Linked DNA regions of Rattus norvegicus. The protein of the gene in region 1 interacts with the protein of each later gene in a pairwise test. Links are inferred from orthologs where the notes say so. Each region holds a gene or a part of one and is shown on either strand. Other genes may lie near its edges.

Region 1 (4,030 bases):
AAACAGGCCTGGAGCTGCCTGAGTTGCAAGTTGGGAGAGCCAAGTCCTTGGCAGGATTCCAACCTTGGGGAAGGAAGGGGGTCTCACCTGGATCCCTTCAAGGAAGAAAGATAGGTGCTCTCTCGGGCTACTTGGCGGGACAGTGAGAAAAGTTCTACCCTTCGAAGTAAAAGGGTGTTGTCCCTCATGCAGAACTGGGCAGCAGCCTCATTGATGGTCAACTGTGGCAAGAGGACAATCAGTGTGAGTTCTTGGTTCTCCTACTGCTTTTCCCCTTCACCACCAAGGGAGGCCCATCCAAAGAATGCCTGCTTTAAATAATACCCAGGACTTAACTGCCTGAACTTAGAGACTGTCCCTCCCAAGGCCTCCTGTTCCTGGCATGTGAGCAGCACAGGGTTTCGTTGCCATTATTCTTCCCTTAGGTTGAGGGAAGTGAGGCAGCAGCTGGGGTTGGGTATGTGTGGGTGTGTGGAAGGAACTGGGGTGGTCAAGGGGACAGTGATACAGAGGTGGAGGATTCTGAGGCAAGTGAACTGAGCCCAGGAGTGAAGGGCAGTCCTGAAGACCCAGGTACTCACCTCGTGCAAGCTAAGCTGTTTGCCCTCACGCCGTTTGGAATCCAAGCGGCCATAGATGATGCTATATTTTCGGATCTCCTCTTCTTTCTGGCTGTCGTTATCATCCATCTCAAAGATGTGCCCCACACTCCGTGCCAGCTTCTTATTCAGCTTCAACAGGGATGTGATCTCTCCAGTGTCACCCCTGGGGAAACTCCGGAAGATCCTCTCCACACTCTCTACCACCATTCGCACCATCTCTGGTTCCAGGCGGTCTGGACCACCCCCTGTGCCACCTGCAGCCACCCCCCCAGCCCCAGTCCCCTCAGGGACTCCTCCCCCTGCAGGGGGGGAGAAAGGGGGAGACCCGGCCTCCTCTTCTCCTCCTGCTCCAACATCAGATTCTGGAGTGCTCTGGCCTGGCCAGATCCGGGGATCCCCTGCACCAGGTCCTCCAGGAAGTGGTGATAGCTTCTCTCCAAGTTCAAGGGGACTCTTGGGGCTAAAGCTTCGAGCACTGCCCGCCTTTTCTCCTGGGCTGCCATGCCCATTGCTCATGCTCCCTTTCCGGGTACCAGCTGTCTCAGAGATCTTGAAAAGTGGGATGCTGGAGACAGGCACAGCAGGCACTGGTTGGCTGAAGAGCCCTGGGTTGGTGGCCCATTCTCTCAGAGCCTTCTGTAGACGTCGGACATGGAGTGGTTTGGTGGCCATGCCCACAAGTGCCATGATTTCCAGGAACTCCTCCTCGCCCGCCTCACACAGCTGCTGTACATCATCCCCTCCCTGCTGGATGAAGGTCTCGTAGTAAGAAAGAAGGTTGGCACGCTGCAGGACCCGGTACAGCTGCAGCTCACCCAGTGTTCGAGGCAGTGCCATGGTTGAGGCACTTGCCCTGAGAAGGAAGGGCAGGAGACAGGCGGTGAGTACAAGTGTCCTGCTGGGTACCAACCAACCCACACTAACAGTTGTCCTCTTTCCTGCCCAGTGCCCAAGGTTGAGAATGGAGCATTGCTCAGTGGCACAAACATCCCATATTAAAGTTAACTTAGAATACTAGGGGCTACTGCTGGCCACTTCACTCCTTGCCCAGGTAGCTGGGAGGGAGGGGTGTGGCCTCTTCCTTGGCCTTTAGGGAACCTGGTAGACCCTTGCTCATGTCCTTAGGTTCCAGGGTTTAAAAGCACTCTTCCTAGAATCTGTCCGAACTTTCTAGGCTGCCCAGTACCCTTCCAGTTACCCCCTCTCCTTTGATTGGTCCTTCTCTTCTGGGAAAGGGGGAGGGAAGCCTTGATTGTTCTGCTCTGGGGCCGTTCTTCCCACACACTCCCACAGGAGCAGCGTCTGTAGGCGAAAACTGCCTGGGGGCTCCCGCCTACTCTCTTCTCCTTGTTTTCCATCCTTATCTTCAAAAGGGAGTGCGAGAGAGACTGAAGGCCTCTTGAGGAAGGGGCTGCATGCGGGGGCTACCCCTCCTCATTCAGTGAATGGTCATTTCATGACAAGGGAGGCCTGAAGCACACCCCCTTCAGGCCCACAGATGCTTAACTCAAAGGAACCACCTTCTCCCAGACCTAGGGGTGGTGCGCTGCCGGCTAATGACACACTAAGACAGCTAAGCTCCCCCACCCCTCACTGTTGACAGATCAAGCTCTGGAGCTCTCCCTGGCGCTGGGGGACAGTCTTTGTAGGGCCTCACGTACCAGGTTATGCCCACTGAGTAAACCTGGAATGGAAAATGAGGCAGTACTCTATCGTAACCAGGCTCATTGGGTCTTTGTTTGCTCCCAGGATCCCCCAATTCGAATACTCACCCCCCCTTTTCTATCAGTCTCCACCTCCCACCTCCCGATTCTCCACGTCCTCTTTTCGACCCCCACCCCCTAGACCCCCATTCGGGAGTCCAACTCCACCCATCTCCACTCCCTGCCACCTCCTTTTGCCCACTAACTTGACTCTGGGTTGTGGGGTCCGGCGGGTGTTATCCGCTCTGCCAGGTGGCTGCTCCGCTGTGGGAGAGGGCGCTCTGTGCATGGACGGCCAGAGATCACCCGTGCCTCCCGTCTCGGTGCCCGGCGCCTGCTGCGCGCTGCTCTTTGCCTGGAGCGCGCGCGGCCCGGGTCCACCGCTGTCCTGGCTCCGTCCCTCCCTCCACGTCTTCTCTCTCGGAGCCTCCGCGCCTCTGTCTGTGCCTCTGCCCCCACCTCCCCGGCTGAGCTTGCCGCCTCTCCGCGCCTCCTCCCCCGCAGGACGCACAGGGAGCGAGGCCCCGCGCTGCGCTGGCTGCCGGGCTGGCGGGAGGAGGGCGTGGGCAGAACCGGGGGCTGGGACCGGAGGCGGTGGGTGGGAGCCCAGGCCTGAGCCTCCGAGAGGCTGCTGCGGAGACTGAGAGGAGGAGACTTGGGGGAAGGTGGGGGGAAGGTGTGGAGCAGGAGGCGGAGGCGGGGACTCAAGAATCGGGCTCCGAGTTGGGGACTGAGGTGACCGAGGCCGAGCTATGGAGGGGGGAGCTTGGGGACCCAACGGGCGGGGCAGGTCGCTCCTTGCCGCCCACGCCGGATGCACAGCCGGCCCTCTCTGCGCCCACGTACCCACGTGAGCGCCCCGCCGGCTACATTCCTACTCCCTGCACCACTCCTACTCCTGTGAGCCGAGAGCGCAGTTTCACAACCACGCACAAGTATACAAAGACACGCGCACGTACGTGCACACGCGTCTAAACAACGACGCGGACGCCCGTTGGCCGCACTCTGGCCGCGCCATGCCGTTAGTTTGAATGTTAGAAGTGATGGGAAAAAAGTTGGAGAGGGGTCCGGGTGTTCGGTTCCTCCTGCTCCGCTCCCGGAGGATGTACCCTTAGGGTAAACTTGTTAGCGCGGGGCTGCGCAGGAATCCCTTCGGTGTTTCAACACCGTTCTCTGGCCTAAAGGTTGTAATATGAAGAGGCGGCTCTCAGAAACCCTGGTCGTAAGTTATACTAGAATCTACTACTTACATGAGCGTTGGTTAGGCACGTCGGGGTTTGGTAGGTAGGACAGGGATGGGGTTACCATGCTTTTTTATTTTCTGATGGTCAGGCCTTACTGCTTGGATTGGACGGCAAAGCCAGGAAAAGGTGGCTGCCTTCTCTGAGGTCATGAATTATTGGATCTCTCTGGACAGTGTAGTGGAAGCTTGGCAAGAGGCTAAGAGTAGTCTACGTGACTGCCCACCACGGAGGACCGCCTTCAAGGAGCCCAACCCCCTCGGTTTCTTCTAGCCCCATCTGGTTCCCATTACACGCCCACGGCTAGGAGGGTTGGGGGGGGTATTGGGCACGTGGGGGTTGTGTAGGCCTTTGGGGAGAGAGGGTGGGGGTGGAAAGCGTGGCGGACTGGCCAGAGGGAGGAAACGTCCCTCTAGTTAGAAACCTCGGCTCCGCCCCTTTGCTCCGCACTTGAGAGTGGCTTGCCCCAGCACGGCGTGGGTAG
Region 2 (3,965 bases), on another chromosome or scaffold:
TGAGAAGATCCAGATGAAGAGACATTTTTAAAGGTGTTTGTAGAGCAGTGGTTCTCAACCTGTGGGTCTTGACCCCTGGGGCTGGTGTCGATTGACACCCCCCAAACCACCCTCTCCCATCCCCAACACACACACACACACACACACACACACACAAGATCCCACTCGCCAAACCCAACCAGGTCAGGGAGTGAAAAAGGACCAAAGGTGAGTGTCCGAAGGTCTGAGCTTTTGTGGAGTGAGAGTGTCTCCTCACCTCCAAGACCATGGAGCCGAATTCTTTATCTTTGTACAGTTGCTTGGCACAGGCCAGAATGGTGGATGTCTTTCCTGTGCCTGGAGGGCCATAGAGAAGTAGGTGTGGCAAGCGGTCTTCACTGATGAACTTCTGAACTGCAGGACAGGAAGAAGCAATGACACACGTCAGTCTCTGGGTCCTGCATGCTCACCTTAGCACCTGTTTAAGCTACATCCAGACGTGCTTCAGTTCTTCAGTGACCCAGTCAGAGCAGACAGGGAGGGAATGTCCTGGAGTCAGACCACGGTTTGTCTGTCTGTCTCTCTATCTCAGGAGGGTCTAGAAAGTTGAGAGCAATGGTTCTCAACCTGTGAGTCTTGACCCTTTTAGGAGCTACATATCACACACATATCCTGCATATCAAACATTTACAATTTATAACAGTAAATAGCAGAATTCCATTTATTAAGTAGCAATGAAATAATTTTATGGTTGGGGAGTCACCACAACACAAGGAACTGCATTAAAAGGGTCACATCTTTAGGAAGGTTGAGAATCACTGGTTTAGAGGCACAGCCTCATTGGAGGAATCAGGCCACCAAACACATGCGTTTGAGGTTCATACTGACCTCCATTCCCCACCTTCACCCCTACCCCCGCTTAGCTCTCTACTTCCTGTCTACTATGGAGCAGAATGCCCCCACTGCCATGAAGTTGTGCTCACCAAGGGTCTAGAGTCAACAGAGCCAAGCACGGTGGACCAGAACCTCTGAACCCATAAGGCAAAGTCAGTCATCTCTCCTCTCTGTTGTCGTCTTGGGGATGGGGGAGTTGACAAGGTGCCTCAGCTAAGCCGGGTGCTCTTGCAGAGGACCTGGTTTTGGTTCCTAGCACCTACAGGGCAGCTCACAATAGCCTACAACTCCAGTTCCAGAGGATCCTGGGCCCTCACCTGGCCTCTGAAGAAACCAGGCACACATGGAGCACACACTTACAATAAAAACAAACCAATCGGGGTTGGGGATTTAGCTCAGTGGTAGAGCGCTTGCCTAGGAAGCGCAAGGCCCTGGGTTCGGTCCCCAGCTCCGAAAAAAAGAACCAAAAAAAAAAAAAAAAAAAACCAAAACAAACAAACCAATCTTTAAAAATGTGTCCTCTTAGATATTTTGGTGCACTATGGAGAAGGAAACACACAGCCCATTCTATAAAGCACAGTCCATCCTTAAGTGTCATCCAGCAGGGACAGCGTCTTCACGAAATGGACCCAAACCCTCCCGCCAGGACAACAACAGCAGCAGACACAGGTACTCACTGGTACTCAGGATGTCCTGGTGAGATATGAGATCGGCCAGAGTCTGTGGCCGGTACTTCTCAACCCTGAAAAAGGATTCACCATGCGTTACAGTTTATACGCCAAGAGTCATGGGTTCTGTTACATGCAAAGAAGCCCTTCACGTCCTAGCAGCAGAGGAAGAGAAACCCTTCACGTCTGAACAGAGTCAGTGGCACTCACAACCAAGAGCTGTTCAGTTACCACGAGACATCTGTCAGGCCGGTTAGCTGTAATAACTGCAGAGGGTCTTAGTGGCCTCTTTTGAGGAGAGGTCAGGAGGTTGCTGAACATCCTCCAGTGGGCAAGACAGCTCCCTGTTGCTCCACACCAACAGTGCCCCCGCCCCCAAGACAACAGCGCTGAGACTGCACAGCTTCAGTTAGGCATCGACTCATACTCAAATACCCACAAGCAAGTGAAGGGCAATACACTTGGGATTTGGCTTTCAAGCGGGAACTGAGTGCTGAACCATGCTACCGAAAAGAACAACCCTGAGTTCCAGAAGTCACACTCAAAAGACCACACCGTCTGTAACTCCACTCCTGAGAATTTAACGTGTGATCCAAGGCAATTCTTCCTCCTCAGTAGAGACCAGAAAAACTGAAAAGAAAGCATGGCTGGGCAGGCTTTGTTTAAAACACCGCTAAACTGCTGTAAGGTCTATCAGTATGCAAACTCTGGGGCCTTGGAGTGGATCCCGGGAATCCATGCCAGTAAAAGGAAAGAACTGGGTCCTGCAAGTTATCCTCACCGCCACAAAGGTGCGCTGCTACGGTCCCTTCCCCCGCAAATAAGAGGGAGAGAATGCAAGCGCTGAATTCGAACACGAGTTCGAATCCTAGCCTACCCACTCCTCCGGTCTCTGAACCATTCTAAAGAAACCCAGGATCCATCTGTTAGGGTCATCAGAGCGCAATGGCGATGCTCGAGGCACTTGAGGATGGCTGAGCTGAACTCAGGCATAAGATCACAGACAGTTCGGTTTGGAAGCGGAGGGGCGGCTTGCGGCGCAAAGGCTAGGTATCCGGCCGGGAGCGGGAGGGGGACATGCAAAGCTCCTAGGAAGAAGGGAGGGAAGCAGGATGCGGGGCCGCTCCTACCAGGGCAGGTTCCGGGCCCGGGCCGCCCGGGGCTGCTGCTGCGAAGGCGCCGCCGCCATGACTGACAGATGCTGCAGGGACCGGCCACCGAACCACTGGACTCGGAGTCCGCGCGCAAACCAACCCTCGCGAGTCTTCGCCTCCGGCTTCCGGCTTCCGGCTTCCGGCTTCCGGCCCCAGCCCCGCCTCCTCCCGGTTGCTAAGGTGCTGGTTGCTAGGTAACCGGAGTCGCGGGCCTGCAGCCAGGTTAGGGCCTGAGCCGGCAGTCTTAGGCTTTCAGGAAGACTAGAGACGCAGCACACTACAGCTAGACTTACCACAGGCCTCACCAGGACCGGATCCTGCCAGCGCAAGGGGCAAGCCGCAAAGGGGCAGCGAGTTCCGGAGCCAGAAACACTTCTGAGGCTGGGGTGTGGTCAGCGCACCCTTGGTTCCATAACCAGCAACACGCACACACAGTCACACACACAGTTACATATACAGATATACATCTACATACATTCCCATTCGCGGACACTCACACACTTACATACAAACATATACGTTTGCACTCACACATATACACATATGTATACACAAATACACAGTTGATATGCACACATACACACGCATACATATATACTCACATCATACACATGTATAATACATATCTACACACAGAACATATTCAGACATATACACATAAGTACACACAGTTACATATAGACACATACATGTATACATATAACACATTCATAAATATACACACAGACATCTCTGTTTTATACACACACACACACACACACACACACTTTCTCCTACAGTGAGAGGATCACAGACCAATTTTTTATTTATTTATTTATTTATTTATTTATTTATATGTATTTATTTTTGAGACAGGGTTTCTCTCTGTAGTTTTGGCTGCCCTGGAACTCGCTCTGTAGATCAGGCAAGCCTCAAACTCAGAGATCCACCTGCACTTCTACATCCCAAGTGCTGGGATTAAAAGAGAGCTCCACTTACCTGGCGACCAATTTTATTTTCCTCTTTTTTTTTTTTAAAGATTTATTTATTTAATATATCTGACTACAGGGGTTGGGGATTTAGCTCAGTGGTAGAGCGCTTGCCTAGCAAGCGCAAGGCCCTGGGTTTGGTCCCCAGCTCCGAAAAAAAGAAAAAAGAAAAAGAAAAAAGAAAAAAATATATCTGAGTACAGTGTAGCTGTCTTCAGACACACCAGAAGAGGGCATCACTTCCCATTAAGATGGTTATAAGCCACCATGTGGTTGCTGGGAATTGAACTCAGGACCTCTGG
Region 3 (3,513 bases), on another chromosome or scaffold:
AAAACCTGTTCCTTGCTCCAACATCTGCCAGGAGCAAAGGACTCTCTGAATGGGCTCACCTCTACAAAGCTCTCCCTGACACCCCCACCAGCACCATGTATCCATCCCAGCTGTGACTATTCAAGGACTTGTCACCTACTGTAACATTATACATTTGAAGAAAAGGACCAATTTGCAGATCTTACTGGCTTCCAAACACCTAGAACAAAACCTGACTCTGAGTATTTTCTTTTCACTAAATTTATACTTGAAAGATCAAACCTGCCATTCTGGAGACAGAGGCAAAAGGCTAGTAAGTCCCCTGGCCGACAGAACAAGTCCCAGGCCAACTATGGCTACATAGTGAGACCGTGATTCAAGTTTACAATTAAAAAAGTCAAAGATAATAACAGATATGTTAATATGCTATACTAATACATTTTATATTTTATTAGAATACATTAATTATATAGAAAATAGGCCTCCTGGGGACATTTTCATAGAGGTCCACACGCACTGTGATCTTACCAATCCCACGTTACTCTCCCTTTTCCCTCTATCCCATCCTCTTCTCTAATGGTTTCCCTTCTACTTTTATATGTAAATATTCTTTAAAGCATAAGCAAGCGGGAGGAAGAGAATTTACTCAAACACTGTATATATTTGAGTGATTCAGTTGGCAGAACGCTTAAAAATTAATAATTAACTATTATTATTGACTATTAACCTGCTTTGTCACTGTAAGTTAATTTCTATAATTTTATATAGACTTATACAATATATGCTATTTTTTCTAGTTTCTTTCACTCAACAAAAATATTCTGAGATTTCCTTGCTGTAATAATTTCTTTTCCCTTTCTTTTTGACAAATCAGGTACCACAGATGGCTACACGGTGTCTTGTCCATTCAGCCATCTCCTGGGCACCTATGATATTGTAACATGGATTGTCACAAACAAGCTGTTACCAATACTCACATCCAAGCTCCTCACAGGATAATTCTTATTTTTTTTTTTGTTAAAACCTCGATTTTTTTCTTTCTTTTTTAAAGAAACCTTTCTTGCTTTGGAATTTTTAATTACATTTTTATGTTTATCTATGTGTATGTGCATGGGCAGAGGTCAGAGAATAACTTGTGGGAATAAATTTCTCTGCTTCCACCACATGGGCCCCAGGTAACACAGCAGAACATCCGGCTTTGCCGCAAGCGCCTTTACCCACTGAGCTACCTTGCGAGAACAAGACCTAGGGTTCTAGCTTCTTCATGTAAGCTGCATGTTCCAGATCTAGTCACCAGCTTAGTTCACACCACTGCCTCATCTGAATTACAGACTACTCAAATGAAACCTTCGTTTGGAGTATCTACTATAGATCCATAAACTAGTACTCTTAATTTAATTAAGTCACAAACACGAGCCTCGGCAAATTAATCTTTTCCAGAAAGATGGGTGGTAGCAAATGTCAGACTTTGAGAAAACTGCACTGGACAACTGTGACCAACCGTTTTAAAAGGGGGTGTGGCTTGGAAACGGTACCTGAGCCTAGGAAAACTTCACCAGGTTTTCCAGGCTACATCATTAGCTGTTCCAAACCTCCCAAAGTCCTCTGCAGGAGAAATGTTTTACTTTGACACAAGACAATTTCCCAAACAAAGCAGAAGGAAAATATTTCTCAAAACAACTTACTCTGGCAGCGGACTCAAAAGTATCAGAGCCGTGAGCCGCATTTCTTATGCCATCTGTCCCAAAGAGGGCTCGGACGCTTCCGGGGGCTTCTGAACGCGCTATCCCAGAGTTTGCGGGTCCAAGCAACCTTTTCCACTCACATATGGCATCATCTCTCAAGATCTCCATGGCAATAACAGGCCCACTTGTGATAAACTGGATCAGTTCGCTGGGGAGCAGGGAAAAGCCAGTTACTTCTCTACGCTGTCAACCTAGGCATCTGCTTGACAATGAAGGTATGTTAGGACATCATAGTAAGTTCGAGGACTAGCATGTTGTGATCTGTTTCTGATCACAGGGAAGTGTATGAATATGGGAAATCGGCATGAACAGATGCCTTACAGTGACTGAGTCTGCCTCAAAATCGTTACAGGAAATACGACAAGGCCATTTCTGTTTGCAAGGGGAGGGAACACTTGTTGAATTCGGATGATTTCACTGACTTAAAATGCAGACCATTGATCTGATCTTCCCCACTACTCTAAGAAGGAGAAAGGTGATTCCATTCTGTTTTCCAATGGCTCAACGCAGCAGCCATGTAGAGTATTATAATAATACAGTGACAAGCATGGTATTTTGTAATGCTCAAGAACAACTTATTTAATTTTGCAGTGTGTAAGTACTGGAATGCAGAGAGTGACACTCTAAATCAATGTGATAAAGAAAGAGAATGTCAACAGGCTTTCAAAACCAGGCCTGTATTAGGCGAAAACCTGCCCTGGGTAATGGTATCTAAGTGATGGACCAGACACACAGGCTTTTATTGAAGTTTATGTCTGAGTCCCAGCTCCCTGGGAATGAAAAATGACACTCCATTTTATCTTTCTAATCTTTCTATTTCTTCATGTGCACACAATGCAACAATACGTTTAACTTGAAATAAGTGGTGTCCCAGCCTCTTACCTTCTTAAGCAGAGGCAGAACTGACAGGGCCTTCTCAGAGAAAGGAAGACAGGATACAGGCTTACCCGCCTGTCATAGTCACATATGACTACGACTGCACTGCATATAGCTTCTCAACCCGTCATCAATCCCTCCAGTCACTTAATAATGGCTGTGGTGTGTGACAACTGAAGGCCTGGTGGGCTACCGACAAGATATTGATCATGACCAGTGCCAAAGAACCAGCTAATTCATTCCTGGAAACTTTCTGCATATGAATTATATAGACGATATTAAACCAGGTGCTGTGACTTAGGGTTATAAAGACATACAAAGACTCTAAAACAAAGAATAATCGCCAAAAAATGTATATGATAATTCTAACAAAGTTTAGGAATATTTTACAATGTATGATTAAGTCATAAAGCAGTAATTTTATTATATAAATGTTCTTTTTTTTAAAAAAAAGTTATCCTTCTGTGTATGATATCAAATAAAATGTCTACCGCGCCAGGTTGGCTAAAACTTCATTTGTCTTTATTAGAGATTTGTTGAGAAGCCCTTGGTCCTGCCAAGGTTGGACCCCCAATGTAAGAGAATGTTGGGTGGGGGTGCCGGGAGGGGGTGGATGGGGAGAGGAACATCCTTATAGAAGGGGAGGGAGATGGGAAGAGGGGACTTATGTCTGAGAAACCAGGAAAGGGAATAACATTTGAAATGTAAATTAAAAAATCCAATAAAAAAAGAAATGTAAATACATAAAATATCCAAGAAAAATAATTTAAAAATAAAAACCAGAACAATGATCAAGCAAAAACAAAACAAACAAACAAAAAAAAAAAAACCCCACAACCCCCCCAGAAATTTGTCATTCCTTTGTCAATGGCACTGAGTATGCACATTAGTCACTTTAATTACATCCAAAATA

What was found.
Region 2: the proteins of Nab2 (region 1) and Rfc5 interact in binary tests that used the Homo sapiens proteins (3 or more experiments, as listed by UniProt). The link is inferred for Rattus norvegicus from reciprocal best matches to the Homo sapiens genes NAB2 and RFC5.
Region 3: the proteins of Nab2 (region 1) and Nme7 interact in binary tests that used the Homo sapiens proteins (3 or more experiments, as listed by UniProt). The two-hybrid records come from large-scale screens. The link is inferred for Rattus norvegicus from reciprocal best matches to the Homo sapiens genes NAB2 and NME7.

What each region holds. Positions count from the first base shown.
Region 1 is NC_086025.1:65,386,452-65,390,481, forward strand, and holds the start of Nab2 (NGFI-A-binding protein 2), read right to left. Parts: upstream 2,805-4,030; 5' UTR 2,595-2,804; coding exon 2,512-2,594; intron 1,456-2,511; coding exon 582-1,455; intron 222-581; coding exon 88-221; intron 1-87. UniProt on the Homo sapiens protein: Acts as a transcriptional repressor for zinc finger transcription factors EGR1 and EGR2. Isoform 2 lacks repression ability.
Region 2 is NC_086030.1:44,867,168-44,871,132, reverse strand, and holds the start of Rfc5 (replication factor C subunit 5), read right to left. Parts: upstream 2,812-3,965; 5' UTR 2,731-2,811; coding exon 2,672-2,730; intron 1,616-2,671; coding exon 1,551-1,615; intron 394-1,550; coding exon 257-393; intron 1-256. UniProt on the Homo sapiens protein: Subunit of the replication factor C (RFC) complex which acts during elongation of primed DNA templates by DNA polymerases delta and epsilon, and is necessary for ATP-dependent loading of proliferating cell nuclear antigen (PCNA) onto primed DNA.
Region 3 is NC_086031.1:79,224,960-79,228,472, reverse strand, and holds part of Nme7 (nucleoside diphosphate kinase 7), read right to left. Parts: intron 1,873-3,513; coding exon 1,665-1,872; intron 1-1,664. UniProt on the Homo sapiens protein: Possesses an intrinsic kinase activity. Displays 3'-5' exonuclease activity with a preference for single-stranded DNA. Does not seem to have nucleoside diphosphate kinase activity.